Linked DNA regions of Cricetulus griseus. The main gene of each other region encodes a partner of the protein of the gene in region 5 in a complex. Links are inferred from orthologs where the notes say so. Each region holds a gene or a part of one and is shown on either strand. Other genes may lie near its edges. The genes, in order: Lsm7, Lsm5, Ubl5, Lsm6, Sart1, Lsm8 and Lsm3.

Region 1 (4,015 bases), on a different chromosome or scaffold from region 5:
GCCTGGTAAAAATGAGGCAGAGAGAGCTGAGGACTGCTGGCAGGGTGGGGAGCCCTGACACACTTTCAAAAGCTCATGCCCAGCCAAGAGCGGGATGTGGGGACAAAAACGTCAAAGGGGGATGTGGGCCACATGGTGGAGAGGCTAGGAACGCCACGCCTGGGTAATGTCTTAACTTCTTAGCCAATCAAGGAAGAGCATGCCAGTTGTGCCAGTGTTGGGAAGGCTGAGGCTCAGTTACAAGTTCAATGCTAGCCTGGGCTATAAAAGGAGATCCTGTCTCAAGATTTTGTAATCTTGAAAAAAAAAAAAAAGTATTTGAAAGAACGATCCAGACCCAGGGTCCATGAGAGAAGATGAATATATAGAATAACGTGCACAGGCCACCCTGTGGGCCATCCGCATTAGAACCCAGCAACTGCCCCGTGTGCCCGAGGCTGCAGCCCTTCACGAACCATTGGGACTGGAGCCTGATGCCACAGAAACAAACAAGAAATCTAACAACTAAGCCAAGTGTTGTGACGCAGGCCTGGCATCCCAGCACTTGGGAGACTAACAGGGTGTTCAGGGCCAGCCTGGGCAACATGGCAAAGTCAAGAGACCATCCTGGGCTGCAGCGCTTGTGGGAGGCCAGCGCGCATTACAGAATGAGTTCAAGGCCAGCATGCGACTGTGTCTCAGCAAGCGACGCTCACCAAACGTCCTGCCTCGGCACCGGGTCGGGGCGCATCCCGCGGCACCCGGAGGCCCCCACGGGTCCCCCGCGTGTTGCATTGACTGACCCAGAGGTGAGGAACCCCTCCTGCCCAAGGTCACGGAGCAGAAGCCGGGATGCAGGGCTGCAGGCACCCGGGGACCCTCCCGAGCCCCTGGGGGAGGAGGACGGGGACTCGCCCCATTCTGCAGAAGAGGAAACTGAGGCTGGCAGGGGCGGCGGCGGCAGTTGGGGCCCCGGGGCGCAGGGCGGGCTAAGCCCGGCCCGAAGTCTGCGGTGGCGACAGCGAGGGGACGACAGCAAGGTCTCGGCCACGGTCACGAGTGGTGCAGCCGAGCCGACCAGCCGTGGCGCTCACCTGGGCCGCGAGCAGCAGCAGCAGGGCCGCGGCGAGCCGCGCCGCCGCCATGTCCGCCTGTCCTGCCGCAGCTCTAGGCGGAAGGTTTCCCGGCAACGCCTTCGGGACCCCGAGACGCGCACGCGCCGGCCCTGCGCGTGCGCGGGCCCGCCCCTCGCTAGAAGTGGGCGGTGCGGAGCCTGCGCAGAGCAGCGCAGGTCGGCAAGATGGCGGTGAGCATTGCTGGGTCGCGGAGAGAGCGGGGTTCCCCCCGAGGGACTGTAGACGCGAAAACTGGGGGCACAGGAGGACCAAAGAGAGGGGGGCGGACACCCGAAGACGGATAGGGAGACAGGGACGCGGAGGAATAGGAATCACGTGGGACTGCACACCGGGCGTCTTGAGGAAGCAGACCGGGAACCTGGGGAAGCAGACCCGGAACCTGGGGAAGCAGACCCGGAACCTGGGGAAGCAGACCCGGAACCTGGGGAAGCAGGCGGGGAACCTGGGGGTGCAGACCCGGAACCTGGGGGTGCAGACCGAGGAACCTGGGGGTGCAGACCGGGGAACCTGGGGGTGCAGACCGGGAACCTGGGGGTGCAGACCGGGGAACCTGGGGGTGCAGACCGGGGAACCTGGAGGGTGCAGACCGGGGAACCTGGGGGTGCAGACCGGGGAACCTGGGGGTGCAGACCGGGGAACCTGGGGGTGCAGACCGGGGAACCTGGGGGTGCAGACCGGGGAACCTGGGGGTGCAGACCGGGGAACCTGGGGGTGCAGACCGGAGGGGGAACCTGGGGGTGCAGACCGGGAACCTGGGGGTGCAGACCCCTGGGGGTGCAACCTGGGGGTGCAGACCGGGAACCTGGGGGTGCAGGCAGGGGACATGAGGATATACACAGGGGGCATGGGAATAGAGAGAGATGCAGACTCAGCGACCTGGAATTTAGTTGGGGGAACATGGGAGATGGAAATGAGTTTGCAGACAGTTATGAGGGCTGCAGGATGGTCAAAAGGAGTCGCTGGGTGCCGGGTCCAGGCAACAAGGATATGGGAAGACTGGGTCTCACTCCTCAGCTCCTCCACTCTCCAGCAGGACAAAGAGAAAAAGAAGAAAGAAAGCATCTTGGACCTATCTAAGTACATTGACAAGACCATCCGAGTGAAGTTCCAGGGTGGCCGGGAAGGTGAGTGGATGCAACAGGGCCCCTAAGAATCGGGGTTGCGACAAGCAAGGGAAAGCCTCACAAGGCAGGCATTTTAACTCTTAACAAAGGCTAAGCTTGGGCCATCCTGTTACTTGAGAGGTACCAGTATGTCTCAATTGTGGATGGGGAAAATGAGTCCCAGGGAAAGAAAGCCAGGTGCGGTAGCACCCACACCATTATTGCTGGAGCCTGAAGGAAGAGGCCAGAAAGCTGGGAGGACATAGAAGAAGGAGGCAACAGGGGGATGGAAGGAAGGCATCCCTTCAAGAGCCTGGAGGTAGCAGGGACCCAGGAGGTTTCCAGTAGCAGGATCAGGGAAAGTTCCAGCCAGTCTGAGCTATGTGGCAAGACCTGTCTCCAAAAATCAACCAGGGCTAGGCTATAGCTTGGTGGATAGAGGGTTGGTTTAGTGTGCATAAAGCCCTGGATTTTATCTCCAACACCATGGAAACCAGGTGTGGTTGTACAAGCCTGCTATTCCAACCCTAGGAAGGTAAACACAGAATCGGGAAGTTCAAGATTATTTTCAGGTTGCCTAGTGAGTCTGAGGCCAGCCTGGGCAAATGATACTCTCTCATACAAATGGGAGGGGAAAAAAGGCTATTTTGTGTTACATGGAAACTATACAGAATTCAGTTTGGGGGATGATAACATTTTATTGACACTTGGTCCACCATGAACTCACTATCTATGGCCCCTTCCACACTTGTAGGAAGAGAGTTGGGGGTCATAGTCAGCAGGCCACCACATAGGGACATGTCTCCCCATGAGTTCTGTAGTGATAACTGTCCCCATGCCTGGGTCTGTAGTGGGAGGACAATAACATCATCCTTACCCATCTCTCCCTTCAAGCCAGCGGGATCCTGAAAGGGTTTGACCCACTGCTCAACCTGGTGCTGGATGGAACCATTGAGTACATGAGAGGTGAGCTGGCTGTGGTTGTCCAGGGATGCCACCAGGCCCTGTTTCTTCTCCACACCTGTGCAGTCACATTGCCGCAGGTGGTGCTGACCTAGGGTGCAGGTCCCTCCCTGATCACCAGAAAGGTGACAGGCCCACCATGATGGCCCCAGGCTTGAGATTTCAGCTCCTTCCCCTCAGCCCTCCTGGGGATGGCAGAAATAGTAGCTACTGTCCTCTGTCTGGATTGTTTGCCTGTGTCACCAGCTCCAGGACGCATAGGATCTCAGCTTATTCCAGAATAGTACCTGTAATGCCCAAAGAGTGTCCCTTCCTCTGCACCCACAACAATTACTTTCTAATTGCTCCCTGTCTCCACCTCTGGTCCATCCTCCCCGGGGCCTCTGCTTCCCCTGCAGACCACTCCTTGGGGTGAGTATCTGCCCTGGGTTCTTGTAGTATCCATGCCTACAGTCGGCTCTGAGACCCCAGGGCCTGGGTGTGTCAGTCCCCAAAAGAAAGATGGGACAGCCCTCTGAGGTCCTGGTTGTGGAGTGCTGGGTGGAAAGGACATGTCTTCAGTTCCTCTTGCCTGTCACCCCCTATTCCCACCAGACCCTGATGACCAGTACAAGCTGACAGAAGACACACGGCAGCTGGGGCTTGTGGTGTGCCGAGGCACCTCAGTGGTGCTCATCTGCCCACAGGATGGCATGGAGGCTATCCCCAACCCCTTCGTGCAGCAGCAGGATGCCTAGGTGGAGAGCGATCTGGCCCCAAGGACCTTCCTTCCTGTGTGAACTTTGTTTGGTGTTTTACTTTTGGATTTTGTTTCTGGTTTTTTATTTTGTTTTT
Region 2 (4,124 bases), on a different chromosome or scaffold from region 5:
ACTATCATACCACCTAAAACTCCCCATGTGCTCCTCATGGACCAAAGCCACCACTGTCTCTCCCCTATCCTTCAATTCCCATTTCCCAGATCATCAACATCTGCTAGTAATCCCAACATTAATTGATGCTTAAGAGTTTCAACAATGGTTCCTGATGAACTAAAGGTAATAAAGATTAATAAGCAAATGAATCTTAAGGCCCAATGCTCTTTCAATAGCTGCGTTGGGGCACTGATCACTGAAGGCTCCCTTCCCATCCTCAGCATGTCTAGACCGTGAACACTGAGCTAAGCAGCAGTGTTCTGTAATCCCTGCCCTATAAAAGTAATTAAATTCAAAATAAAACAGCTTTAATGTCTTACCATCGTTATATTATTTCCATTTAGTAAAATCTGATCTAATTTTGTAATCCTTCTTCCTTCTGGTGTAATTTCACTAAATAGATAAAAAATGGAGTCAGGATAAACAAGTATTCAAAGGCAATTATTTTGGAAACGCTTTTCCTCTCTAAAAATTATTCCTGGGGTAAAGAGGTTAGCTCGGTGGCAGAGCACCACCTGGGTGGCAGAGCACAAGGCCCTAGGTTCAATCCCTAGCATCAAAACTGTTATTCTTACATATGAATGAATGTGAACTCATACAATTACAATAATTTTCAGCAATACAGTCTGCCCACCAGATAATAGTTATGTAAATATAAAACTTCATAAATACAGAAGTAAATATAAAGATATATTACAAAGATATAATATAGAAGTAAATGTAAAGTCACTATAAAGCGTGTTTACACTAATTTCTTAGAAATTCAGGAATAATGACATTAAGATAATAATCTTCTGGCCCAACCTCACAAATACCGGTAAATAAGTCAGCATTAAAAGAATTCCAACAGGTAATACTTTATCCATCATACTAATCCTGCTATTGTAGTTTAAATGAAAATGGCCTCCACGGGCTCACGTTGACAGAACTGTTTGGGAATGGCTAGGAGGAGTGGCCTTGTCTGAGGTGTGTCACTGTGGCGGTGGGCTTTGAGGTTTCAAAAGAATAAATTATAACCAGTTGGCTCTCTGTTTGTCTCATGGTTATCTCAACATAGAATCACTTAGCTATTGCTCCAGCCCCACACCTGCCTGCCTGCCTGCCTGCCTCCACACACCTCACCATGAAAAAACGTGGACTCTAACCCTCTGAAACTGTAAGCAAGCCCACGCAGTAAACGCTCTCTTTTATAAACTGCCTTGGCCATGCTGTCTCTTCACAGTAACAGAAAAGGAACTAGGGTACCTGCCTTTAATTCAAAAAGATATTTCCTCCTCTCCTCCCCCATTTATTTGTCATTTTTAATACTACTCACAACTCTGTGACATCTTCCAACACCATATCTGAAATTTGTTGTTAAGAAAATAAACAAGGTTGAATTTATTCTGGTTTATGTTTTTGTTTGGTTGCAAAAATGTTCAACACAATGGTGCAAATTCAAAAGGTTTGTTGTTGGAGAGAACCCTATCTGCTTTCTGCAAGCACACCTCTTAAAATGTTACCAAGTTCCTGGAAAATAAATAATTTTTAATGTAATAAACAGAAATATGTCATCTGTCTACAGCTCTTATATTAATACATCTTTAAAAACCTGTTCCATGAACACTTTTTAAAAGGATACTGACAAAGTCATCAAATCCTAGAAGTGTACCAACAATTTCTTTATCACTCTTCATCACAATGTGAATTCTTGATCCTATACACTTGTCCACGAGCTCTGTGGAAAGAAAAAGATTGTTTTACCCACTTATTAGTTCAACAAGCATTCGAGTGCTCACTTTACTATTTCCGTATCATTAAAGAGAAACAAAAAGCAGTCACTAAATAACTACATCTTACACAAATCTCCGCTCAGCCATTAGCACAAATGTTTGTCTTGGCCTTCGCTTACCTCCTTTTTTGCTGCAACTAACGGGACTGTGATTTTGACTATTTGGTTAATGTATGAAAAACAATTACACCACAAGGTGGAAACCATGTTAGTTTTTCCTCATCAGTGTTTCTGCCGATGAACATACCCTGGAGTGGACCCTGCAAGAACTTTCCATCATTGCCACATTGACTAACTTCACCGGCGCCAAAACATGACAGAGGAGAGGCCTCACGACCGACACCAGCTTCCTGTCACTTCTCTCATCTTGCCTTTAGCTCTGTGCTTGGAGACCAACCTGAGCATCTCCGTGGCCAACCGAGAACTGCTCGGCACGAAGTCTTTCAGTGTGCTATCTGAAAGCAATGGCCGTAGTTTAAATTCGTTATTCAACAGTACCCTGGCACGGGGAGGGAACTGCTTGATGGATGGATGAATGAATGAATGAACGAACGAATGACGGAGCTAGTCTCCAGATTTCTTTCTAGGAGTCACTGTAGACCGTGGCGCCCTCCTCACACCGCCAAATGCAATACAGGGGCTCCCTAAGGTGTAGACCGGAAAGGCCACACTGCGAGCTGGGCCGGCACCGGGACATCTTAACCGGCGAGCTCACAAGCAAGGCCGAGGGCGTCCTTCACCAAGTGGGGCCCCCGCCGGCCGCCGACAGACAACGGGCTCGGTCTCCGCAGCGGCCCCAGGGGCAAGCCTCCGGCGCGGGCGTGGGGCCGCAGCAACCCGCCCGCGCCCCGGGCGAGACTTTTACCTAGCGGCAGGAGCTGAGACGGGTTGGTGGTCGCGTTAGCCGCCATGGCCACGCCGGAAGTGGCATAGGGCTACGGGCGCAGACTTTAAAAGAGCGCGCTTCCGCCCTTTCCCACAACTGGCTCAGACGGAACTAATCGGAGGCAGATCTGGCGATCGCGGGGTATCCAAATGGATCACCGACAGACTCGATAGAATAGTTCCGCACTATATCGGTGCCACCATCCCGTGCCCCCGAAGTTTTGCTAACTTGACAGTTTGTCTCCTCTATATCTGCCTGAAGACTACAACATACGAGATCTCTGAGTCGGCTAGTTTTCCTCTAAAAGGTTGGATCTTTCTTCAGAGCCATAAAATCAATGAGGATTTGCTATCACCAACTCGTTCTGCGTTTGTCTCAACTACTACTCATTTTCTTAAGGAATCCTGTACTTTTAAGCCTAGAGTACTGAAAACCCTTACGAAGCATCTTTTAAAAATATTCTATACCGAGTATTCAAAGGTTTTTTTTAATTTTTGCTACTTTATTTTATTCTGGTTTTTCGAGGCAGGGTTTCTCTGTATTGTTTTGGGGACTGTCCTGGAACTCGCTCTGGAGACCAGACTGGCTTCGAACTCACAGAGATCCGCCTGCCTCTGCCTCCCCAATGTTGGGATTAAAGGCGTGCACCACCAATGCCCGGCTTCTTCTTGTCCTTTTAGAAGTCTAGTTTATTGCAGGCTTTTGCAGTTACTAACACTTATTGATTTACAGGTAACTGCTAGATGTCACTCCGTATGTTGGTGTCATCACATTTGGAAAACATGCTATCACACTTGTGTTTTGGAAAAAGATAAAAAGCTGCTGTGAGGAGTGGCCAGCAATCCCAGCGCTTAAGAAACAGAAGGAGGCCACAGTTGCCAAGCATGGACAACTTAGTAAGACCCTGACACGAAATAGGAAATAAAAACTAATGAGAGCTTAACCACCTTGCTTAGCACTAGAGTGCTTTCCTAGCATTCATGACTTCATGAGACCTGGGTTGTCCCTACTTAAAAAGAAAAAAAAGCAGCAGGCAAATTCTTTAGCTTCGGTTGTCTCATTTGTGTCTGAGGGACTTAAACAATCTGAATAGGAGAGATCATAATCAACACCATTCATTTTTACAGTGTTTGGTAAGCACCCCTCATACACCGTTTAATTAGCAGCTCGCTGGGTATATAAAGCAATGTACAGAAAAGTCTTCTACAAGAGTGAGTGAGAAGAAGGACAAATAAATTGTATGTATATAGCACTATGAAGTTTAATAGATAAAGCAATGCCTCTAGGGATCCTTGGAAACTCCACTCCATTCTCAATTTCAAGCCAGTGGTGGCTTTTCCCCACAAACCCCATTCCATAAATCTCGTGTACCTACTAGGTGTCGGGGCAATTACAAATACATTCTTTTATTTTGGTTTTTCAAGA
Region 3 (3,751 bases), on a different chromosome or scaffold from region 5:
TAGTGAAGGACCTGCTTTTTAATACCTCACAATGGAGACTGTATTTTACCCTAGTCTTGAAACCATTGTAGAGATGGTTCAAGATACTGAAACCATTGTTGAGGCTTAGGAGGGTAAAGAAACTTCCCTAGAGCAATTCAGCTGTGGGGCAGGTGTCCTACTCACAGTCTTGTGAAGCCAGACCCTGTTCCAGCTAGCATATCTACCCTCCCTATGCAGGTTAATGGTTTATGAGGACGGCAATACTCACAGGATCTCTGCCCATCAGTGACCCAGAGGCAACAGCAGAGCTCCGGGTCCCATTCTACTAGGCTACTCTTCCCTCATGACTTCACACCTGATCCTTTTGCCTCCATCTCTCAAGTGCTGAGATGTCAGGTGTGCACTACCAGGCCCAGCCTCCAGTTAGTCTTCCTCAAGGAACAGGGTACGGAACTATACCCACCAGACACCAGCTCTCCCCTCCGGATACAACCTTCATGTAAGTATGACAGCAACAAAGCAGCATCAAAGTCTTTATTCATGTGAACTGTTAAAAATGTGCATCTATACCAGTGTCAAATGAGGGTGGGAGAGGAAGGCAGGGTAGTCAAGGAGAAGGATTCCCGTCTATTGGTAATAAAGCTCCAGGTTCATCCCATCATGGATTTCATCTGAAGACAAGTATTAAGGAATTTTCACTGAGGGCTGACTCTACCCTTTACCCACTCACAGTTGGATGGAACCTTGTGGCTCGACAACCAACCTTGGAATAAGGAAGCAATTTTAGAATGTGCACTTTGATCTAAGAATTCAAGCTATAAATAATGTAAGTGACCATCACTGAGAAGGCAAAACTGTTTGTCATCAAAGCCTGGTGTAGAGTCAGATTCTCAAGTGCCCCAGGCCTTCACACACAGCAATAATTAACACATTTTCTTAAATGTTCATACTCAGGCTGAAGACATAGAGCAACAGTTGAAGGGCACTCATGGCTGCTCTTGCACAGGAACTGGGTTCAATCCCCGCACTCACACGACGGTTCCAGGGAATCTGAAGCTTCCTTCTGGCCTAAGTCAGCAGCAGGCATGCATGTGGTGCATAAACGTAATTGCAGCAAAAGACCCAGAACCCCTCCCCTGCCCCCATAAAAAAAAAAATCATACTGGTTGTCCACTAGTCACATCTGAGGTATACTCCACCTCCACTTCCTGTCCAATATCCATGTGCTGTTCAGTCATAAATATTTTGAACCTGAACGTCAAAATCCTTCTGAACCAAGTTAAACTATTCCACCACCCTCCTCATCAACAAAATAACGCCATACTTTCCATTTTCTCAGTAGTCCCTATCTATAGGCCACATTTTAAGTTAAACAACCCTACAGGTTTCAATATAGAACCAGAACTCAAGTATATGGATTCTTTCACAAAAGTCAGGAAAAGGATACAATCTCCCAGAGACACGTGGTCCTTAAAAATCGTGTACCTACGGGACAGACATCTTTCAGAGAGAAGCTTATTTGGCGGGGTTGAGGTGGGCTTTTGTCTTGAAAGCAAGCTGAGCCCTCATCGGGGTTGCCTGAGGCGCTCCCCCAACCGCAACCTTCTAGCCTAATCCCCACCAGCACTTACCATTTTTTAAGGACGATCTTATTCCAGCGGGTGCCAGTTTGGGCTGCTATCAGTTTCTTCAAGTCCCCGATGGTGTCATCGGTGCTGGGCACGAAGGAGTTAAGGTAAATGGAGGGAGGAGGTAGAACGAGGAAGACGGTATTAGGCCTCCCCATCTACGCCATTTAACCACAATTTGCCTAACACCAGCAGCTGCCCCAGAGACCACGGCCGGTCACCCCCTGGTGGATACTTGCACTTGACGCGGACTTTCTTTCCGAGACGGTCGTTGCAAACAACCTCAATCATCGTGACTGCGGCTACACCGGGGGGGGGGGGAGATGATGGGAGATAGCGGAGTCAGAACTCTGGGGTCGCCCAAAGTCCCTTCCCGAGTGGAGTTCTCTGTCCACACCACCCGAACACACATCCCCGGCAGCCCCGTCCGGGGTCTCAGCGGCGGGGACCCAGACAGTCGCGTCTCCGCCCCTTACTCCCGCAGGCCCAGCCCCGGCCTCCGGCTTCGCCTCCCGCCGCTCCCCGTGATCCCGGGCCTCTCAGTTTAGCTCCCTCACCTCTAATTCCCCTCGAATTTATCGACGACACAACTCCCAGCTCGAACGCCGAGCCCTGGCCCGATTTAGGGCTAGTAGCAGGAAGCGGAAGTGATATAACGGAAACATCCGCTGTTAGGTGCTTCCGGATTCCGGGCTTTCACAGACGCGGTTCTGTGGCGCAGTTTGCCGAGCCGAGGCTGGGTTGGAAGACTGTGAGACTGAGCGGCGGTCCTAGTGGATTTACAGCCGACGGTCGGAGCAGTGTTGGCGATCCCTTTGTTGTGGAAGAGACCCAAAGCGTCTGCCATCCCCAAGCCAAACAAACCTCCTACCGCAGAATCCCGGCTGCCCAGCGGACCTGGAGTCGCGCGGGTGCCCTGGCTGCCGCGCTCTCGGTGTTCATTCAAAGCTCCGTCTCGGCCCCTGTGCTTGCCGTTACCCTCTGACTACAGCGACTGCTTCCGAGACCCTAGGGGTGCAGACTGCCGCCGATGAAAGCTAAGCTGTGTCTCGGGCGGCAGGCCGTGCTCCACACCACCCTATGTGTCTGTCGGGGTCCTGCCTGCGAAGATGTTGGAAACACCATCCTGGACAAAAAAAAAAAAAATCGATTTTTTTTCTTCTTTTTTTAATCTTCGAGGAACACCTTGTTACAGATTACAGAATCGCGAGAGCTGATGGGGAAGGAATCCCTCTCTAAATTCAATCAGTTCCCACCTCTCCTGAACGATAACTTCTTAGCAGACAGTACTCAGTAAGGTAAGATATACACATATATTTATTTTTTAAAAGTTGCTTAATTTTCTTGACATGGGGTGTCAATATATAGACCAAGCTGATCTCGAATTTGTGGTACTAATGTCCACCCTCGGAAGTTGCTGGTATTATATAGGCCAGTGTATTAGAAGCTATCCTGGTCTATATAGCGAGTTCCAGGCAAAACTTTGTAGAGAGACTGTCTCAAAAAGAAAAAGAAAAATCTACCAGGGCCTTGTGCTTAGCTAATACCACTTATACAAAATTTATCCTTACGAGTAGGCAGCAGAAAGCATTACTTTTTCTTTTTATTGCGGCTTGTGGCCACGCCTCCCTGGCTTGGCAGTCCTGGCCCCTCAGCCTCACCCCAGTTACACCTTTCGGTCTGGAATGAAGTCCTGATTCACGTCCTTAGTGTTCTGATCTGGTCCATCCTCTTCCCGGTGCGTCGTTCCCGTTCAGAAAATACTTCCCAGGCTCAAGCATACGTACCAGAAAAATGGGGTTTCTTTTTTTTCTTTTTTTTTTTTTTTTTTTTTTTTTTTTTTTTGTTGTTGTTGTTTTTCGAGGTAGGGTTTCTCTGCGTAGCTTTGGAGCCTATCCTGGCACTCGCTCTGTAGACCATGCTCTGCCTCGAACTCACAGAGATCCGCCTGCTCTGCCTCCCGAGTGCTGGGATTAAAGGCGTGCACCACCAAAAAATGGGGTTTCTTACTTTCCTTTTCATTCTCTTCTTTTTCTTTCCTTTCTTTTCTTTGATGTTGGAAATGGAACCTAGGCCTTCTAGCATGTTAGGCAAAGGCTCTCCCACTGAGCTGCACACCCAACTCCTTGCTTAGCTCTTGC
Region 4 (3,500 bases), about 100 Mb from region 5:
TCGAATTAAGATATGCCAGACTACTTAAACTATTTGACAGAGAGTGGTAACTAATTCATTAGCAAAGTTTTGTAGCTGTTTCTTTGTCTCTTTCCTAAATTTCCTTAAGGTTTTTCCCTTGTCCGAATATTTACATGTAACTGAGCATATGTTAATCACTTCAATACATACATTGTCACTTTGTTTTCCATAAACTGAGATTTTATGGTTATCCTCACTGGGGAAGTGAGAAGCCAGGATGTACACAAGCCTGACTGGAAAGCTTTGTTAAGAAATCACTGGAGGGGCTGGAGAGCTGCTTCAGCAGCTAAAAGTACTGACTGCTCTTGCAGAGGGCACAGGTTCAGTTCCCAGCACCCATGGAGGATCTCACAACCCTCTAACTCCAGTTTCAAGGGATCCAATACCTCTTTGGCCATCAGACAACGCACACACAGACAACCACTCACATGTATAAAACTAAAATAAACATTTAGTAACTCCACTGGATCCCAGTGCTGGGGAGCTCCAAGTGCCCACATTGGGCAGTTCCCAGCCTCCTGTAATTCCACCTCCAGGAGAACCAACACCTCTGGCCTCCAAGGATACCTGTACTCATATGTACCTGCACATACACACACACACACATATCACTAAAAGTAAGATGAGATCTTTAAAAACAAAGGGGAAAATCACTTTGTTCTTGGTTTCTTGACAGTAATAGACAATATTGCCAATGTTTTTGATTGTATGCTTGCTTGCTTTTTGAATCAGTATCTTGTCATGCTATCCAGCCATCTTCAGGCAAGTTCTCTTTCTGCCTTGGTTTCCTCCCAATCCTGTGGTGATGTTTTGTTTATGATCTAACAAATAAAATAAAGCTTGCCTGGAGATCACAGTGCAAAGCTAGCCACACTAGTCAACCATAGAGACTAGGTGGGGGTGGTGCACGCCTTTAATCCCAGCACTAGAGAGGAATATAAGTCCAGTGGAGACAGGAGTGCAGTGTATTCAGTTTGCAGTCACACCAAGTACAGGATGGCCCCAGCCTTGCTAGAGGTGAGAACTTTTCTAATCTTCAGCTTGAACCCCAATATCTGTCTCTGGATTTTTATTATTCGTGCTACACATGCTGAGGGTTAGAATTATGGTTGTGTGTGCCACCTTGCCCAGTTTTCAGCCATAAACTTTGGACACATTTTGTGTGGTACTTTCTCAGCATCCACTTCTTGAAGAGGATGTTAGCTGTCTTAGCCTTTTCTTTAGGGAAAGTGTTTCTGTTTATAAAAGTAATAATACATGTTTTAATTTGTTGTTTATACCTTCTGGGCAAGTAATGGGAAGCAGTGTTTCACTGTATTCCCCTGTGTGGAGACAATCCCCTGACCACAGAACAGGACAGCCACCTATGCAGCCTTTTTTCTCTTACTACAATAACCAATAATGTTCTAACAAGAAAAGAACGCGCCTGGATGTGTGTGCACACCTTTAATTTAGTCCCAGCACTTGGAGCAGAGGGGGTGGGTCCCTGTGAGTTGGTCTCCATAGTGGAAGCCTGAGAACAGAAGGAAAAGGAAGGGAAGAGGAAAAGACCCAGTGTTCTGTGACAGTTCTTTAGCTTGTTATTTCTCTTCTTGATCTTGGAGAAGAGGAAGAGCTACAACTTTAACACCCTGAGCAGGTTTTTGTTTTGTGTTAGTTTTTGCAGCTTGGACAATACACACGCTAGGCAAATGCCCTACAGCTGAGCAAAACCTCCTTGTTTATCTTTTAACTTTTATGAGATCAGATATTTTTACTAACAGTGAGTAAAAGTGGCATTATGTTTTGAATTACCGTTTTGGCTAATTCCATATCATATCCTAGAATTTCTTCCTAGTCTGTGAATGTGCTTTAAGTGTAACATAGTAGGGCAGAAGCAAACAATAAAACCGTGTCTCGAGCTTCCTTTGGCTAAGAAGTAATTGTTGTTGATAGTTGACAACAGTCTAGTCTGATTGTTTGAATTCTGCTCTGCTAATGTCTTGTGCTCTGATTACATACACACAGTTTTGAAAAGAAACCTCTGTTTAGAGGATAATGGGGGCAGAAGCGGAGAGTGAGGAGCATATTAATGAAGTTAAGATTTTAAATGGGACTATTGACTTACTTAATTGAATTGAATCTGTAGTGTGTTTTTTATTCATACAAGTATCACTTTAGATTACAGGCTGAGAATTAGAAGCTTCCTGGCTTCGTCTTTTGAAAAAACGTCATCTGGTCAGATTTTGGAAATATATTCCATCTCCACACAATTAATGAGTCACCCGAGCTGTTTTCCTTGAAAGCTCTCTGGAATGTTTGTAGCCGTTTTTCTCTATTAGTTTTGATTTTAAAAATAGTCTAACTCTGACAGAACAGAATGCAATGTGTCGCAATGCAATATGTTGCTCTCTGTTCTCAAGCTGCTCTTCGATGGAGTCGTAGCTTTGAGCTGGGCTTTCAGGGGCACCTGCTGTCTATTATCTTAACAGATTGTGGAGACTTCCTCTTAACCCAGGGCACATTCATCTGCTGCAGGAGATATTGTGCAAGAGTGAGATAAATCTGCCAGATCCGTATTTCACTTAGTGGCTAAAGTAACAAATGTCACTGGGTGGAGGCTCATTTATCCATGTGTAGTTGCTATGTCTGCCCCTAGCTTCCAAGAAGGACATTTTGGTTGGAATAATCTAATGCTTATACTTTTGTGAAGGCTTCCAAAGTTGCTGTGGTGATCACACATACCAGGAGGGGAGTGACAGTTGGCTGCCTGTCTTGGAGTTGTGGCTGCAGTGACTCCTCTCATGCTATGCCCATGCAGCCTTCATTCAGATCGGCACAGAGTAAAGACTCCTTTTGTGTTTACGTCTATTGAGTTTTGTTTACAGTGTGAATTTTTATCCTATGTGTTTGAAGGCTAATGAATAAAGTGATTGTCAGTTCTAAGATATACCCTGTAATTTTCAATTCTTTCTTTGTTTTCTCCAGGGGTCCTGGCCTGCCTGGATGGCTACATGAACATAGCACTGGAACAGACGGAAGAGTATGTAAATGGACAGCTGAAGAATAAGTACGGCGATGCATTCATCCGAGGAAACAATGGTAACAGCCTCCTGTAATAGAGCACTGGGGAGTTTCTAGATGGTGTTAAAGTTCCCTTGTATTCCTGTTTGTTTGTTTGTTGTACTTGTATTTTAGATCTTTGTATAAACCAGTTCTATTTGTGTGTGGAAAGAGAATTTGCTATGGATTGGAAGTAGAAATTCTCTTTCTCACTTTACTGATGAAGAGCTGGGAAATATTGCTTTACTGACCAGGACCCTGTTATCTTTTTGTTTGGTTTTGTTTTTCAAGACAGGGTTTCCCTAGAACTCACTTTGGCCTCAAACTCACAGAGATCCACCTGCCTCTGCCTCTGCCTCCCGAGTATGGGAATTAAAGGCCAGTGCCATCACCGCCTGACAACCCTGTTATCTTAAATATCATTTATTCTATTCTCC
Region 5 (4,265 bases):
CAGGCTTCCAGAACAGGCTTCCTGACTGGGGAAGACTATCCTTCCTCTTGGGTCTCAGTTTCTTCCACGTAGCTCCTATGGTTGGCAGTATGACTCATCTGGCCATTCCAATTCTAACTGGCTTCATTTAGATTGAAAAAGTTTCTATAGGTAACAGCCCCAGGTGCAACCAGTCTCAGAGGAAAATCAAAACAGCATAAGGGCTACTCACTTGGTCTCCTCGATGCTAAGTGACGAGGCATCTCCAGAGCTAGTTTTGGAGCTGGCAGCTAGAACAATAAGGAGCACGGCTTAAGGAACCCATGAACATGGGACCAAGAAGCAACATCATGGTCTTCAGTTGCAAGGTCGAAGACAAGGGCCCCCACCAGCACCTGGGTAGATGACACCAGAAAACAGCAGCCTTCTTCCCCCAGGGTTCCCTGCAGCTGCTACCCAGGCCCTTATCTTTTTTCTGCATCCCTCACTGTGCCACTCCAAATCTCCACACTCTACCTTCAGCCTCCACAGTCCCTTCTGCTCTTGTTCTCATAAAGTTCTATCAAAAGAGCAAGTATCATCTCCTCCATGAAGCCCTGCTCAATTACTGACCAGAATTAAAACTCTGCCTAGAACGGCACAGCACTGCTTGTCATTTCTGGCACTTTCTGCCCACAGCAGTGTATGGAATACTTACTAGTGTGTGTTCCATGCCAGATGCTATGGACATAGGAAAGGAAGCACTCTGGACCTGATCTATCCACCCCACAAACAGGAGAGAACTTCAATAAACACTATACAGAGGAAGATGCCACCAGGATGCCCAAGTCCCCTGTCACACACTACTCACTGCTCTTTAAACCCTTCCTCCTCCACCTAGGCTCTGGACCCCATTTTCTATATGAACTCTCAAGTCTCAAGTCTCCCTTTTTCCAATTAGCAGATTATTAAAAAAAAAAAAAAAGTTTCAATTTAGGGGCTGGGGAGATGTCTCAGTGGATAAGAGCACTTGCTGTTCTTACAGAGGACCCAGGTTTGGTTCCCATAATCTATATGGCATCTCACAACCACCTAACTCATTTTCAGGGGATCCAATGTCCTCCTCTGAACCTCCACAGGCACTAGGAATGCACCAAGTGCATATTCACATATGGAGGTAAAACACTCAAATGCATAAAATGAAAACAACCCTTTGTTTACAAGTTCTGGTTCTGCATAATGCCCTGTGGTGTGTGATGCTCTTAACCACTCTGTCTTTTCAACAATCATCTCTTTGTACAGATCCTATGACCCAACTGTAGTGTTCTTGCCATTTGGCTACTCTTTATTTTTTAAGTATGTTTCTCTGCCCACAATTGAGCTATTGGCATTTACTAAGTTCTATTTCTGATCCTAGTTCTCACTCCACACACTCTAGGGCACTTTGGATTCCTGAATACACACTAGCCTCAAATCACTCTATCCCACTTAAACTGTAGGTTTTCCCATACACACTGACCAAAGCTCTCCCAAACTGGGTCATTCTCCCTTGCCTCAAATCTGCTAGTCTTCTAAACACCAACTTCAACAGATGAAAACCATTCACCAGGCGGGTAAGGTCAAAACTCCAGGAGGCATTCCCTGTTCCTCATCCCTCCCATCCCCTTAGCCCACGCACTAAATTTTGTTCATTGCACTTCCTAAACACCTATTCAATCTTTCCAGTCTCTCCACCCTACTGCATGGAGAAACATGCATACTCACTGTTAGTCCTCACCTGGTTGGGTTGACCTCCCTCCTAATCTCAGGGTCTGTAGTCCTATTTTTGACAAGCTCTCAACCCAGAGATCCTTTTTTTTTTTTTTTTTTTTTTTTGTTTTTCGAGACAGGGTTTCTCTGTGTAGCTTTGGAGCCTATCCTGGCAGTCACTCTGGAGACCAGGCTGGCCTCGAACTCACAGAGATCTGCCTGCCTCTGCCTCCCGAGTGCTGGCATTAAAGGCGTGCGCCACCAATGCCCAGCTCAATCCAGTGTGATCTTAACATATGAAGTAAATCAACCCACTTCCCTACTCAAATCCTCGACTCCCTACCGTCTTCATCACAAAGCCCAAATTTCTCAACAGAGCTTACAGCACAGGGTCCTTGGTGTTCAGACCCAAGCGTATCTTACTGCTTCATGACGATTCCACCTACTGTCAGGTTTCTCTTGCCTCTGTCTGTGCATGCTCGCACCTCCTCCTTTCGCCCACCCACCGCATTTACTGTCAAGTGCCAGACGGGAAGGGGAAACGCAAGACCCCGGTCCTTCCGAAGCTTAACATGGGGAGTCAGTCTTTAGTCCCCAACAGCCGGAGCAAGTCTTCAGCCCGAGAGGCACAGGCCCTGGCGGTCACCCTGCACCCTCCGTCCCGCGCACCCCAGGCCCCTGCCCCGCCCCCGCCCCGCCCTCACCGGCCTCGTAGCCGTCATCGCGTTTCTCTCGCTTCACGCGCCGCTCCGAGGGCTCCGCTTGACTTCGTTCGCGACCGTGCGCGCCGCCGCGGGCCTCGGCTTCGGCCCCGCGCCTCCCGCTCCCGCGCTCGCCCCCACGCTCGCGGCTCCGCTTCCGTCGTTCGCCGCCGCTGCTGCCGCCGCCGCTGCTGCGATGTTTGTGTTTCTTGTGCTCTCGATGCCGCGGCGGCTGCTCGGTGGCGCCCCCGGTACCGGCCGCCGCCGTCGTCCCCGCCGCCTCCTTCTCCCCGCGGTGCTTCTTTGACGACCCCATGACTAGTGCGTCCGTCTGGAGCCGGGCCGCCACCCGAGCCCAGACGACGCAAAATGGGAATACTTCCGGGTCGTGCGGCCGCCGCTGCGCTGTTGCCGGAAACTAAGAGCGGCTGCTTCCGGGGCCGGCCTGGGAACCTCCAGAGGCTCATGGGAGGGACGGGTTGAGACTGCGCATTCCCGGCTCCCGGGGACTGGCTCTGCGCATGTGCACCTGTAGAGGCTACGGGGTCGGCATTGGCTCTCCCGGGTTAGAACTGTAACAGCTTTGGAATCGTGCTAAAAGCCACCGTCTGCGGAGCTGGGAGCTCTTTCCCTGACCTTTCCACTCCGAGAGCCTCGTGGCGCTCTGTGCCTCAAGCCTCTTCGTGGGCGTCCCCTCCTCCAGTGATTGTCCTTCTCGTAGGCTCCCCGGGGCCGGGGATCCGTCCGGGGTTGGAAGATACCGCATGTTTTCTTCTTGAAGAAACCAGCTGCAAAGCCCCAGACTTGCAACCCCAATAAACCACTGTTGCCAGCGAATGCTACCGTCGCCCACTTTCCCTGGATTGGTAGATTGGGTCTTTTTAACCTGAGCTCTGGACTGCTACGGAACACTATGAATTTGTGCCTGTGAACCCCGTGAAATTGAGTGCTGTTTTTGTTTCTAATTTTCTTTTTAAGATAGGGTCTATATAGGTCTGGTTGGCCTAGTGCTTGTTACGTAGCCCTGGCAGGTCTCGAACCCTCTGGTTCAGCCTCCCGTGTGCTGCGAGTGGCCGGGATTTCAGGCATGCTCGCCCAAGCCAGGCTCAAGTGCAAATTGGGCAGATCCGTTTTTCTTTTGCCTGCCTGCCTTCCTTCCTCCCTTCCTTCTTCCCTCCCTCCCTCCCCCCCCCTCTCTCTTTCCTTCCTCTGTCCCGTTAACTATGTGGCCTCAGTCCGGGATTACAGGCACAAGCCACAATGCCTTGCTTTCCCAGCCTTTTCTCTCTTCCTGGGCTTTTTTATTTGGTTGATTGCTTGTTTGGTTTGGTTGTTTTGTTTTGGTCTTGAGGAGATGAGCTTTAAAGTTAAGGATTCACACACTCCCTTCTGCTACTAGTTGCTCCTCTGTGGGTTTCCTGTGTAGCACACCTCGGCGTGTTTTGGTATGGTTTTCCTGCTCCTTTACGGCTCTGCTCTACTACTGAGTCTTCAGAGGTGGACCTGTTCACTAGCATTTCTAGGTGTCCCACTCAGTAGCAGAGACAGCATGTGTTTGCCGAGGAAGGGGTGCAGCCAGGGTTCCCAGAATATGTGGGAAGTAGCTAAGTCCAGGCCACCCACTTACCACTGCCCCCCCCCCGCCCCACAATGCATAACCAACTCCCGTCAGAAGTCTCACACCATACTTGCCATAAGCATTTAATTTTTATCTCAGGGACTGTGCTGGGTTCAGGGTCGGGGAGGAGAGTCTTCCAGACTGATGGCTGGTGGCTTCTATCTTTGGGGGGTTCTGAAAAGAGTGCTCCATTTCTACTCCAAATGACCGGTGGCTCCTTAAAAACACAGATGGAGGCC
Region 6 (4,100 bases), on a different chromosome or scaffold from region 5:
AATATAGTAGACATATGTAGAACCAAAATAATCAAGAACTTAACTTGAAGGAAATACTCAGGAAAAATTTTGTGGCTATAGCAAAATGTAATATAATGAATGCTGTTTAAGTTTCTGAAGAAATAGCTTCTTTTAGATTTGGCTGGTTAATCTCTTGGGTACACCTTTAAACCCCCCTGTTCTGAAAAACCATAATTGTATAGAATCTGAATGAAATAAATAGAAACTTGGAATGTAGAAATTGGGAAGAAAAACAAATTAGACTATTTATTATAGCACTTGGCAAATGGTAGTTATCATAAACCCCTATAAAGGTGCTCTCATCTTCATTATATATGCAATTATTTTATCAGGTACGATAAAGACAGAACTACTGAGTGTCAATACAAAGTTTCTGTTTAGCTTTTCTTCTATAAGCATTTTCTAACAGAAATATAAGAAATTTAAACCTGAGGATTTCAAAAATCAGTTATTTGTAAATTATCTGATAAATGCAACAGACTTCTTTCAATGTTTAAACAAACATATTCCTAATTTCACATTCCAAATTGCCTACTGTTGACAAATTTAGAGTGTAAACTCACCACCACTAAACAAAAAACCTTAAGACACCTGTTTCCTTTATGGGTTTTGGAATAAAACTCAATTTATAACACACTTGTTATACTGAATCTCTGTGAAAGTAACTTGGTTTTTTTTTTTTTTTTTTTTTTTTCTAAGCCTGGTTCCTAATCTACAATATAAGTGATAATTCTTCTTGAGATTCCTTGCAGACTAAATAACACAAAATTCCTAGCATATGATAAGCACTGCAATTACTATGGCAGTCTATCACTTTGACTGGTGTTGCTCACTAAAGAGCAAGAAGAATCAAAGGGATTCAGAAGAAGATAAGGAGGCTGAAGAAATGGTTAAAAGTATATACTATTCCTCCAAAGGACCTAGTGTGGCTCACAATGGCCTGTAACTCCAGCTCCAGTGGATCTGACAACTCTTCTGGGCTCCTTGTGTAGTGTACCACCACACATGGCAGACACTAACAAACAGACATACACTCAAACCTAACTAAAAATAAATCTTTAAGAAAACAAAATCACGAATGGGAAAACATGGGATTAAATTACAGCCGTGAAAGAAATATTGCAGAGACAGTAGATGAGGCAATGGTCCCAAAGATCATACCCCAGTGAAGTCACAGCTAACTTAGTTTCTGAAACCACTCTCACAATATTTGAAGAACAATGAAATCACTGAATACACATTTCTCAGATTGGATCTCCCCATTGTTAAGCAACTTACAAGAGCATATGCATAATTTGTAAATCCTTAAAGAGCTCTAAATGAAAACAAACAAAAGGAATTGAGGTTAAAAAAAAAAAAAAGAATGCAAGAAGAAAATTAGTCGGCACAGCTCTGCATTCCAGATCAGAAGACTTCAAGGTTTATTAGGGAAGCTGTATTGACAGCCAAGAGATAAAAGTCTGTCAAAACAGCTGGATCTCCAGCATACATGCGGGCAGAACACTGTGTACTTTAAATTTAAACATTCTTAAAAAAATAAAACAGCTGGATCATAAGAACACTAGAATCGAGGTTATACCGTGGTACCTCAGCATTAGATTAGAAACGTAACTTCAAATTTACAATCAATAAGCCTACAAAGAAGCAGACTGAAAATGCCACTCACCACAATCATTCTCCCATCAGAAGTGATAACGGCGACGGTTCCTGAGAACTGCGTCAAGGAAAGTATTTCTTAGAGATTGCAGAGTGAAAACTTTCAGCCTGGTAAGGAAATGGTCTCAATTACTTAAAAAAGAAAAAAGTGGCGGTATGAAGGTTCGACACAGCCGCTGCTCACGAGGTACAAAACTGAAGGTTTGAAACTTGTTTCAATTCTATCCTGAAAACAGTAAATCTAATGGGAGAAGGGTAGAGTCTGACATCTGACCCTGGGTTTAAAACAGCAATGGGTTCCAATCCCTAACACTGAGAGATACAATCCCTTCCTTTCTCAGACCAATGTCTTCACCTCTGAAATAAAAACTGGACGCGTAACTATCAATGTTGCACCGTTGTGGCGCGTTAAGCCCCCTCCCCTAGTCCAAGACCTGGTCATAATTAATGCCACCAAGTACAAACAACCCTGGATTCCTTAAAAGCTCTCTGCTTTGAACGCCTGAGTTTCTTGTCTGTACCAGATGTGCTCGGTGCACGGTTTCTGTCCTGACTTTGCAGCAGCGCTTGTAATTTAAAATCTCACCTGGGATCTTAAGAGCTCCTTGCCTGTCACTGAAGCCCAACACGATTCCAGGCTTTCCTTCTAAGGGTATCGCATGGACACTTCCAGGGGGGGCCCGAAATTCACCTTGGAGAACCAAGCACCTTTCTATGCATGCGAGCCTCGAGCCAACCGCAAGCCCTGAGAAAACCGGTCCAACTTATTCCCGACGCTGGCCCGCACAAGCCCTAAGGGATCTGCAGCAATCCAGCCAAAGGCTCCTTGCAGGGAAGCTGTGCCGGGTGAAAAGGGCCCGGGTCTGTCCGGATGACCCCACCGCCGGTCCCGAACCCCGAGTCCTCCCCGCCGCCCCGGGTCTCCGCCCCCGCCCCGCCCCGCCGCGGCCTGGGCAGCCGCCCGAGGATACGGTTGATGTAGTTCTCCAAGGCAGACGTCATGCTGCTGGGCCCGGAGGTCCCGGGAACAGGAGACAACCCGGCAACAAGGAGACGAGACACGGCCGGGCCGCCAGAAGCACGTACCGGTTCCCGCCGCCCGCCCGCCCGCCGGTGAGCACAGATACCGCGAGACCAACGAGTACCTAGCAGCCAATCGGCACTCGCAAGGAGCCGACCAAACCGGAAGCCGGGCGGGGACTGACTCGCGCGCGTGCGCAGCGTGCATCCGCCGCGCTTCCGGGTGCCGGTCGGTAGAGGGAGACGGACAAAGGCGGGGACGGGCGGAAGTGTGGGCTGGATGCAGGCGCTGGGAGGCTCGCCAGCGGAGGGGCGGGAGCCGCGGTCGTGTGGGAAGATCGGCTGTGCCGGAGACGCCCTAGATGAGATGTTTGCTCGTCCTTGGGAGGAAGGGAGCTCTAGCCTTCTCCAGCGCGAGCCAAAAAAAAGTTCCGAAAGACAAATGGCGCGGTGCAAAGCGAACGTCTTTGTAGCCCGCACGAGGTGCATTTCCAGGGAGAGCCCAGCTATCAAAAGTGCTCGTGCATTCTGCTTTTGGCTCTTCAGGTGTCACGAAGCAGCCTTAAGGAAACGAACTCCAGAGAGGGAAAGGTGTGCGCGATAGATGGTCACTTTGCACGGCTAAATCGAGGCTTAGCTTTTCTTGGGGATGAAAGTTGTAATTAAGAAAGTCTACATTGCCACTCTGAAGGGACCGATTAGAGGAAAGCGTAAACTAAGCACCAGGCTGGGTTCTAATTCTATCCCTGATAATTGATGTCCCTGTTGTAAAGTCACTTAAACTCCTCTTGATCTGATTTCACTTAGATGCTGTACAAATGTGTTAGTCAGTCAACCGTACATAACCAATATTTTAAAATTTTAGTGTGTGTTGAAAGGGGAAAATTAATAAAATCTAAAACCCAGACTCCAAAGCCCAAAAAGAAAACTCAGTTCCCAAAAAGCAGTCCAGCAGACAAGGTTAAACAAAGGGCCTCAGGACTCAAGCCCTTAGACCAGATATCACACCCTAGAATGGCACTCACATTCCTCTGGTCCAAAGAGGATCAGATAGTTATCAATTGTAGAAGTCCCCAGCCCAGGAGACTATTAACAAACCCATTTCCTCTGCAGTATCCTGCTTAATTAAACCTTGCATGAAGCATAACAATCTTTGTCCTGTCCTGTGTAACTACTGAAGTTATGTAATCTTGGGGCTTCCAGCCCTACAATTTTCCCTTTTAAAAACACCCCTCAGTCGAAAGTGGGTACTCCTTTGTTCCCAAACGAATGGGGTCCTTGCTGCAGCTGGTGTCCTTGAGTCAATAAAGAAACCTTTATCCTTGCATTTGGTGAGTCGTCTTCTTGTTGGCAGGTTCTTTGGGGATTCCGAAATCTGGGCACAACAGTGTGTGTGTGTGTGT
Region 7 (4,032 bases), on a different chromosome or scaffold from region 5:
TGAAGCTTACATTGTACTCAAACAATCAGAAATGAAGATGACTGTAGAATGATAGGTGAATAGGAACATCACTGTGATTCTGTGGTGGAGGATACCTAGGAATGACTACTTTAAGATGACCGTGGAATGTCTTAGACCTCAAGTAGAGAAGAAATTAGACCCAGCAACAGCGACGGAGAACATTCTAAGGCAAAGAAACATGGAAGGCCAAGCCTCCAGATAAATAAACAGTATATTCAAAGAAGAGAAAGGCAGTCACCAAGAGCCATCTGTAATCCCTGTGATCATGAGGATGAGACAGGAAAAACCCAGAGCTCTAGGCCGGGCTGCTGTTTAAAATAAGAATATCTGGAAGAGAGACATGCTAAGTGAGGTAGATGCTATACACGGAGAGCACACATCTAAGAAGGTTTTAAGTAAGAAGACCAAGGCATATGAAGTTTTGTTGTCGTTCTACATCACTTGGCTGCTGGATGGAGATCTGATGTAGAGGGGAACTCACTCAACTAGAAAACGACAGGAACAGGATACCAGCTATGAAATTAAGAGAATTAGGCACATATTTCAGTGACTCCGAAGCTGAACTGGACCTCCTGACGAACTAGCAGTTAAGAAAAGGCGTGTTTTAACAGGTGGGTGAAGGAGTGATTTATTGAGATGGGAATATTTTAAGCTTCTCCTTGGTTCAAGACCAAGGTAAGAAGCGCATCGCAAACCTGGGGCCGGAATTACAGTGGATGCAACTTGGAGAGAGATTCTCACACTACAAGGTCTCCCTCTGTCCTAGTTTTGGTGTCTCTCTGACACCGGGCAACAGGGAAGCTTTTTCCTGATCGGCCCTCAACACTTGCCAAGAGGCTGGACTTGGTCCTAGGGGTTACGGTGGGGTCAGGGCTGATGGTAGAGGCCCTCGGGGCGCCGCGCATCCGGCCGTGGAGACCTTCCGCCCCGCTGCCCGCCCCAGCCTCCGCCACCATCGCCTTGCGCGCCGCAGCCTCTCACCCGCCTCGCTCTCCTCCGGCCGGGCTGCTTTGTTGTTCTCGGCTTCTCGGCCGCGCCCCCGCCGCCTTCCTCCCGCAGGGCGCTTCGGAGCCATGCTGCCCGGCAGCGACACTCCGGGCTACCGCAGCCAGCCGGCCGCAGACACTCTCCGCGTGCTCGCCCCGCCCCGAGGCGGGCCATGCCTGGGCCGCGCCCCCTGACCAGGTTGGGACCACGCCCTCCGGAGAAACCCCTCCCCCTGCAAACTACAGGGGCGCAAAGGGACAAAAATAAAGTAGGTCTACTTCCCGAGAGTGGAACCCTTTGCGTTTCTGAGTGCCTGTTCTCGCGAGAGGTGGAAAGGGCGCAGCGTTTGAAACATGGCGGACGACGTAGATCAGGTAAGTTTGTCCGGAGGCGCTCTTAGAGGAAGCGCTTGCGCTTCCAGGTCGGGTTCGCGTTTTCCACGCTCGCTGAGAAGCGGCCCGTCTCTCTTTGTCCCGAGGAACCACGGCCTTCCGTAGCCGCGCCGGCTCCTGAAACTTCCGCAGGCCTAGAGTTTTCTCAACCCGCCTATCTGCCCATCACGCTCGGCATCGGCTTTTATCTGTAAAATGCAAACGGCTGTCGACACCAGACAGAAAGCGTGAGGTAGTGGTGGACACCAGCTTTGTAATACGTGCAAGCGCCTGGTGCGCAGGCAGCGGCTCACTTGGAGTGCAGTAGGAGGGAGGGAGGGAGGTAGAGAACCTGGTGGAGATGTAGTCTGGAGAAAGCAAGCCAAGATCGGGTGCACACAGGATCACAGGCTGCCCTCTTCACCTGCTCTTCCCCCTATTCCTTAGCTACCTGTGGAGTTCCGAAATGATTGCACTCCCTCACACGCACACGCACCCACACACGGGTATTTAAAATAACAGAGCATGTTATTTTAAATATGTATTTCTTTATCTGAGACATTTCTTCCATAACTAGAACGTAAGTTACTTAATAGGGGCATTGGGGCGGGGGTGGCTGGAGAGGTTGCTTTAGGAGTTAAGAGCACTTGTTGCTTTTGTAGAAGACCATGGTTGGGATCCAGCACCCACATGTTGGCTTAACAGCACCCCAACGCATCTTAACTCCAGTTGCAGGAGGGGATCCTCTGCCCCCTTCTGGCCTCTGCTACCGAGCACTGTGTCAGCGTGTGGTGCACATGCATACAGGCAAACTGCTCACATACACGATAAAAGTAAACCTTTAAAATAAAGGGGGGTTTTCTGTGTTTGCTTTTCTTTCCTAGGTTTAGGACAGTGCTGTTAGCACTCAGCAGGTTATTAGTTGAGGGAACGAACCCAATGTTCAGGGGCAGCTTCTTTGAAAAGGCAGAATGTAAAGCTTACAGGGTGAAAAGGATTGACAGTGGCCATCCTAGACTGAAGAGGGCTGTCGTGGGAACAGATTTCATTGTTTTGCAGCTATGTATTTATATGCCCCTCTCCATACTAGAGTGAGCTCCATTGAGGGGATGCGGCTTCTGTATTGTTGTAATCCAGTGGTTGGTTGTCTGATTTCTTAACAAAAGCCTGCTGAGCTAAGGTGGGAGGAGGAAAGCACCAGTTGAGATCCGGGGTTGGGGGTGTTCTGGGAGGGTTGTTTGTTTCCTGTCATCAGCCTCATATCTACACAGCCTACAATTTTCAGCTTTCACTGACCCCAGGTACTCACTGGAGAAGCTTGCTGAATGGTCTTACTAATTCTTGATGGCTGGAACCACCTCTTTCATATAGCTGAATCCAGGTCATCCCAGTTCTAACCTTTGAAACCTGTTCCAACAGTTCTTGAAGAGTAATTCTGATTTATCATTCCTCTGAAATGACTGACCAAGAATGCATTCTTAAATCTTGAAGCAAGCAAGAGATTATATTAAATATAAGAAATTACAGGTGCTGGGAGTGGGGCTGGTAAGATAACAGGTAAAAATGCTTGCAGTTTGTAAGCGTGACAACCTGAGTTCAATTCCTGGGACACACAGAGGAAGGAGAGAACTTTATAAAGTTGTCTTCTGACAGCTACTTGAACCCCATCACACACACACACACACACACACACACACACACACACACACACACACACTCTTAAAAGTTCCAGACTCGGTTCATACCTGCCCAATCCCAGCATCTGAGAGGCAAAGACTTGCTGCTCATCAAAGGCTGTCATGGGCATGCCTCTTAAAAAAAAAAAAAAAGGTAATTATTTAGAAGTGTTTCCTTTTTACTTCAGATAGACCCTTTAGTCCTTATAAGATCTCTGAGGCAAAGATGTGGTCTCCCCAGTTTGCAAATGAGGAGTCTGAAACAAGAAATGGCATGATTTTTAATCCCAGTTCAGAAGAGCCAGGTCAGAACCCAGAATTGAACAAAGGCTTCCTAATGACTCAGTTCTTTTAACTTCTATACTATACTACTCGGTAGGTAGGTTCATCTTGCCAGCCAATTAGCACCCTAAACTTAACCTGCGCTGTACTGACTTCAAATTCTGTCAGATCTTTTTAGTAGTGTGTGAATAGGTATTGCAGGTATGTTTTTCAAATGATTGAATTATACAAAAGATAAAGCTAAGGTTCCTAAGTGGTACTCTAACACTTTGGATTTTTTGGAAGTTCAGTCATCATTTTGCTACTTAACTCCTCTCCACATAATGTTTTTCTCCTCTTTTACATAGCATCGAGGCACCGTTCTAAGCTTTCATATGTCATTTAAAATAATAGTATTGGGGAGACACTATTTTCTGCATTTGGCAAATTAGACTAAGGTATAAACGGGTTATGTGACTAGCCCTTGGTTTCACTGCTTAACAGTGATTGAAACACCACTCTGCCTCTGGTGGTCCATTACTAAGTGTGTTTCCTTCATCAGCAACAGACTACCAATACCGTAGAGGAGCCCCTGGATCTCATCAGGCTCAGTTTGGATGAGCGAATTTATGTGAAGATGAGAAACGACCGAGAGCTTCGAGGCAGATTACATGTAAGTCTTTTAAATTATCTCAAAACCAGATGTTTCCCTATCA

The links.
Region 1: Sart1 (region 5) and Lsm7 share a complex: the UniProt entries of both Homo sapiens proteins name them as parts of the U4/U6-U5 tri-snRNP complex. The link is inferred for Cricetulus griseus from reciprocal best matches to the Homo sapiens genes SART1 and LSM7.
Region 2: Sart1 (region 5) and Lsm5 share a complex: the UniProt entries of both Homo sapiens proteins name them as parts of the U4/U6-U5 tri-snRNP complex. The link is inferred for Cricetulus griseus from reciprocal best matches to the Homo sapiens genes SART1 and LSM5.
Region 3: the proteins of Sart1 (region 5) and Ubl5 are in contact, whole or in part, in a crystal structure (PDB 4PYU), measured with the Homo sapiens proteins. The link is inferred for Cricetulus griseus from reciprocal best matches to the Homo sapiens genes SART1 and UBL5. Residues at the interface, in NP_005137.1 of Homo sapiens: Ser117, Leu118, Ser119, Ile120, Thr123, Leu126, Arg127, Leu130, Leu132, Lys133, Leu135; in NP_001041706.1 of Homo sapiens: Met1, Glu3, Arg15, Lys17, Cys18, Asn19, Asp21, Asp22, Asp26, Lys29, Leu30, Ala33, Gln34.
Region 4: Sart1 (region 5) and Lsm6 share a complex: the UniProt entries of both Homo sapiens proteins name them as parts of the U4/U6-U5 tri-snRNP complex. The link is inferred for Cricetulus griseus from reciprocal best matches to the Homo sapiens genes SART1 and LSM6.
Region 6: Sart1 (region 5) and Lsm8 share a complex: the UniProt entries of both Homo sapiens proteins name them as parts of the U4/U6-U5 tri-snRNP complex. The link is inferred for Cricetulus griseus from reciprocal best matches to the Homo sapiens genes SART1 and LSM8.
Region 7: Sart1 (region 5) and Lsm3 share a complex: the UniProt entries of both Homo sapiens proteins name them as parts of the U4/U6-U5 tri-snRNP complex. The link is inferred for Cricetulus griseus from reciprocal best matches to the Homo sapiens genes SART1 and LSM3.

The regions. Positions count from the first base shown.
Region 1 is NC_048598.1:101,634,295-101,638,309, reverse strand, and holds the start of Lsm7 (U6 snRNA-associated Sm-like protein LSm7), read left to right. Parts: upstream 1-1,215; 5' UTR 1,216-1,279; coding exon 1,280-1,285; intron 1,286-2,145; coding exon 2,146-2,239; intron 2,240-3,112; coding exon 3,113-3,184; intron 3,185-3,775; coding exon 3,776-3,918; 3' UTR 3,919-4,015. Other genes in the region: Sppl2b (signal peptide peptidase-like 2B), read right to left, coding at 1,074-1,124. UniProt on the Homo sapiens protein: Plays a role in pre-mRNA splicing as component of the U4/U6-U5 tri-snRNP complex that is involved in spliceosome assembly, and as component of the precatalytic spliceosome (spliceosome B complex).
Region 2 is NC_048601.1:84,604,465-84,608,588, reverse strand, and holds the start of Lsm5 (U6 snRNA-associated Sm-like protein LSm5), read right to left. Parts: upstream 2,801-4,124; 5' UTR 2,725-2,800; coding exon 2,679-2,724; intron 1,760-2,678; coding exon 1,664-1,759; intron 1,386-1,663; coding exon 1,358-1,385; intron 436-1,357; coding exon 363-435; intron 1-362. UniProt on the Homo sapiens protein: Plays a role in pre-mRNA splicing as component of the U4/U6-U5 tri-snRNP complex that is involved in spliceosome assembly, and as component of the precatalytic spliceosome (spliceosome B complex).
Region 3 is NC_048597.1:133,522,816-133,526,566, reverse strand, and holds Ubl5 (ubiquitin-like protein 5), read right to left. Parts: upstream 2,324-3,751; 5' UTR 2,168-2,323; intron 1,913-2,167; 5' UTR 1,902-1,912; coding exon 1,846-1,901; intron 1,698-1,845; coding exon 1,614-1,697; intron 1,468-1,613; coding exon 1,430-1,467; intron 654-1,429; coding exon 610-653; 3' UTR 501-609; downstream 1-500. UniProt on the Homo sapiens protein: Ubiquitin-like protein that plays a role in cell proliferation and sister chromatid cohesion by associating with spliceosomal proteins. Participates thereby in pre-mRNA splicing by maintaining spliceosome integrity.
Region 4 is NC_048596.1:154,686,612-154,690,111, reverse strand, and holds part of Lsm6 (U6 snRNA-associated Sm-like protein LSm6), read left to right. Parts: intron 1-2,988; coding exon 2,989-3,102; intron 3,103-3,500. UniProt on the Homo sapiens protein: Plays a role in pre-mRNA splicing as component of the U4/U6-U5 tri-snRNP complex that is involved in spliceosome assembly, and as component of the precatalytic spliceosome (spliceosome B complex).
Region 5 is NC_048596.1:53,945,599-53,949,863, reverse strand, and holds the start of Sart1 (U4/U6.U5 tri-snRNP-associated protein 1), read right to left. Parts: upstream 2,801-4,265; 5' UTR 2,725-2,800; coding exon 2,412-2,724; intron 270-2,411; coding exon 212-269; intron 1-211. UniProt on the Homo sapiens protein: Plays a role in mRNA splicing as a component of the U4/U6-U5 tri-snRNP, one of the building blocks of the spliceosome. May also bind to DNA.
Region 6 is NW_023276806.1:207,804,434-207,808,533, forward strand, and holds the start of Lsm8 (LSM8 homolog, U6 small nuclear RNA associated), read right to left. Parts: upstream 2,801-4,100; 5' UTR 2,680-2,800; coding exon 2,649-2,679; intron 1,729-2,648; coding exon 1,688-1,728; intron 1-1,687. UniProt on the Homo sapiens protein: Plays a role in pre-mRNA splicing as component of the U4/U6-U5 tri-snRNP complex that is involved in spliceosome assembly, and as component of the precatalytic spliceosome (spliceosome B complex).
Region 7 is NC_048601.1:52,288,973-52,293,004, reverse strand, and holds the start of Lsm3 (U6 snRNA-associated Sm-like protein LSm3), read left to right. Parts: upstream 1-1,232; 5' UTR 1,233-1,361; coding exon 1,362-1,382; intron 1,383-3,878; coding exon 3,879-3,989; intron 3,990-4,032. Other genes in the region: Xpc (DNA repair protein complementing XP-C cells), read right to left, coding at 1,003-1,096. UniProt on the Homo sapiens protein: Plays a role in pre-mRNA splicing as component of the U4/U6-U5 tri-snRNP complex that is involved in spliceosome assembly, and as component of the precatalytic spliceosome (spliceosome B complex).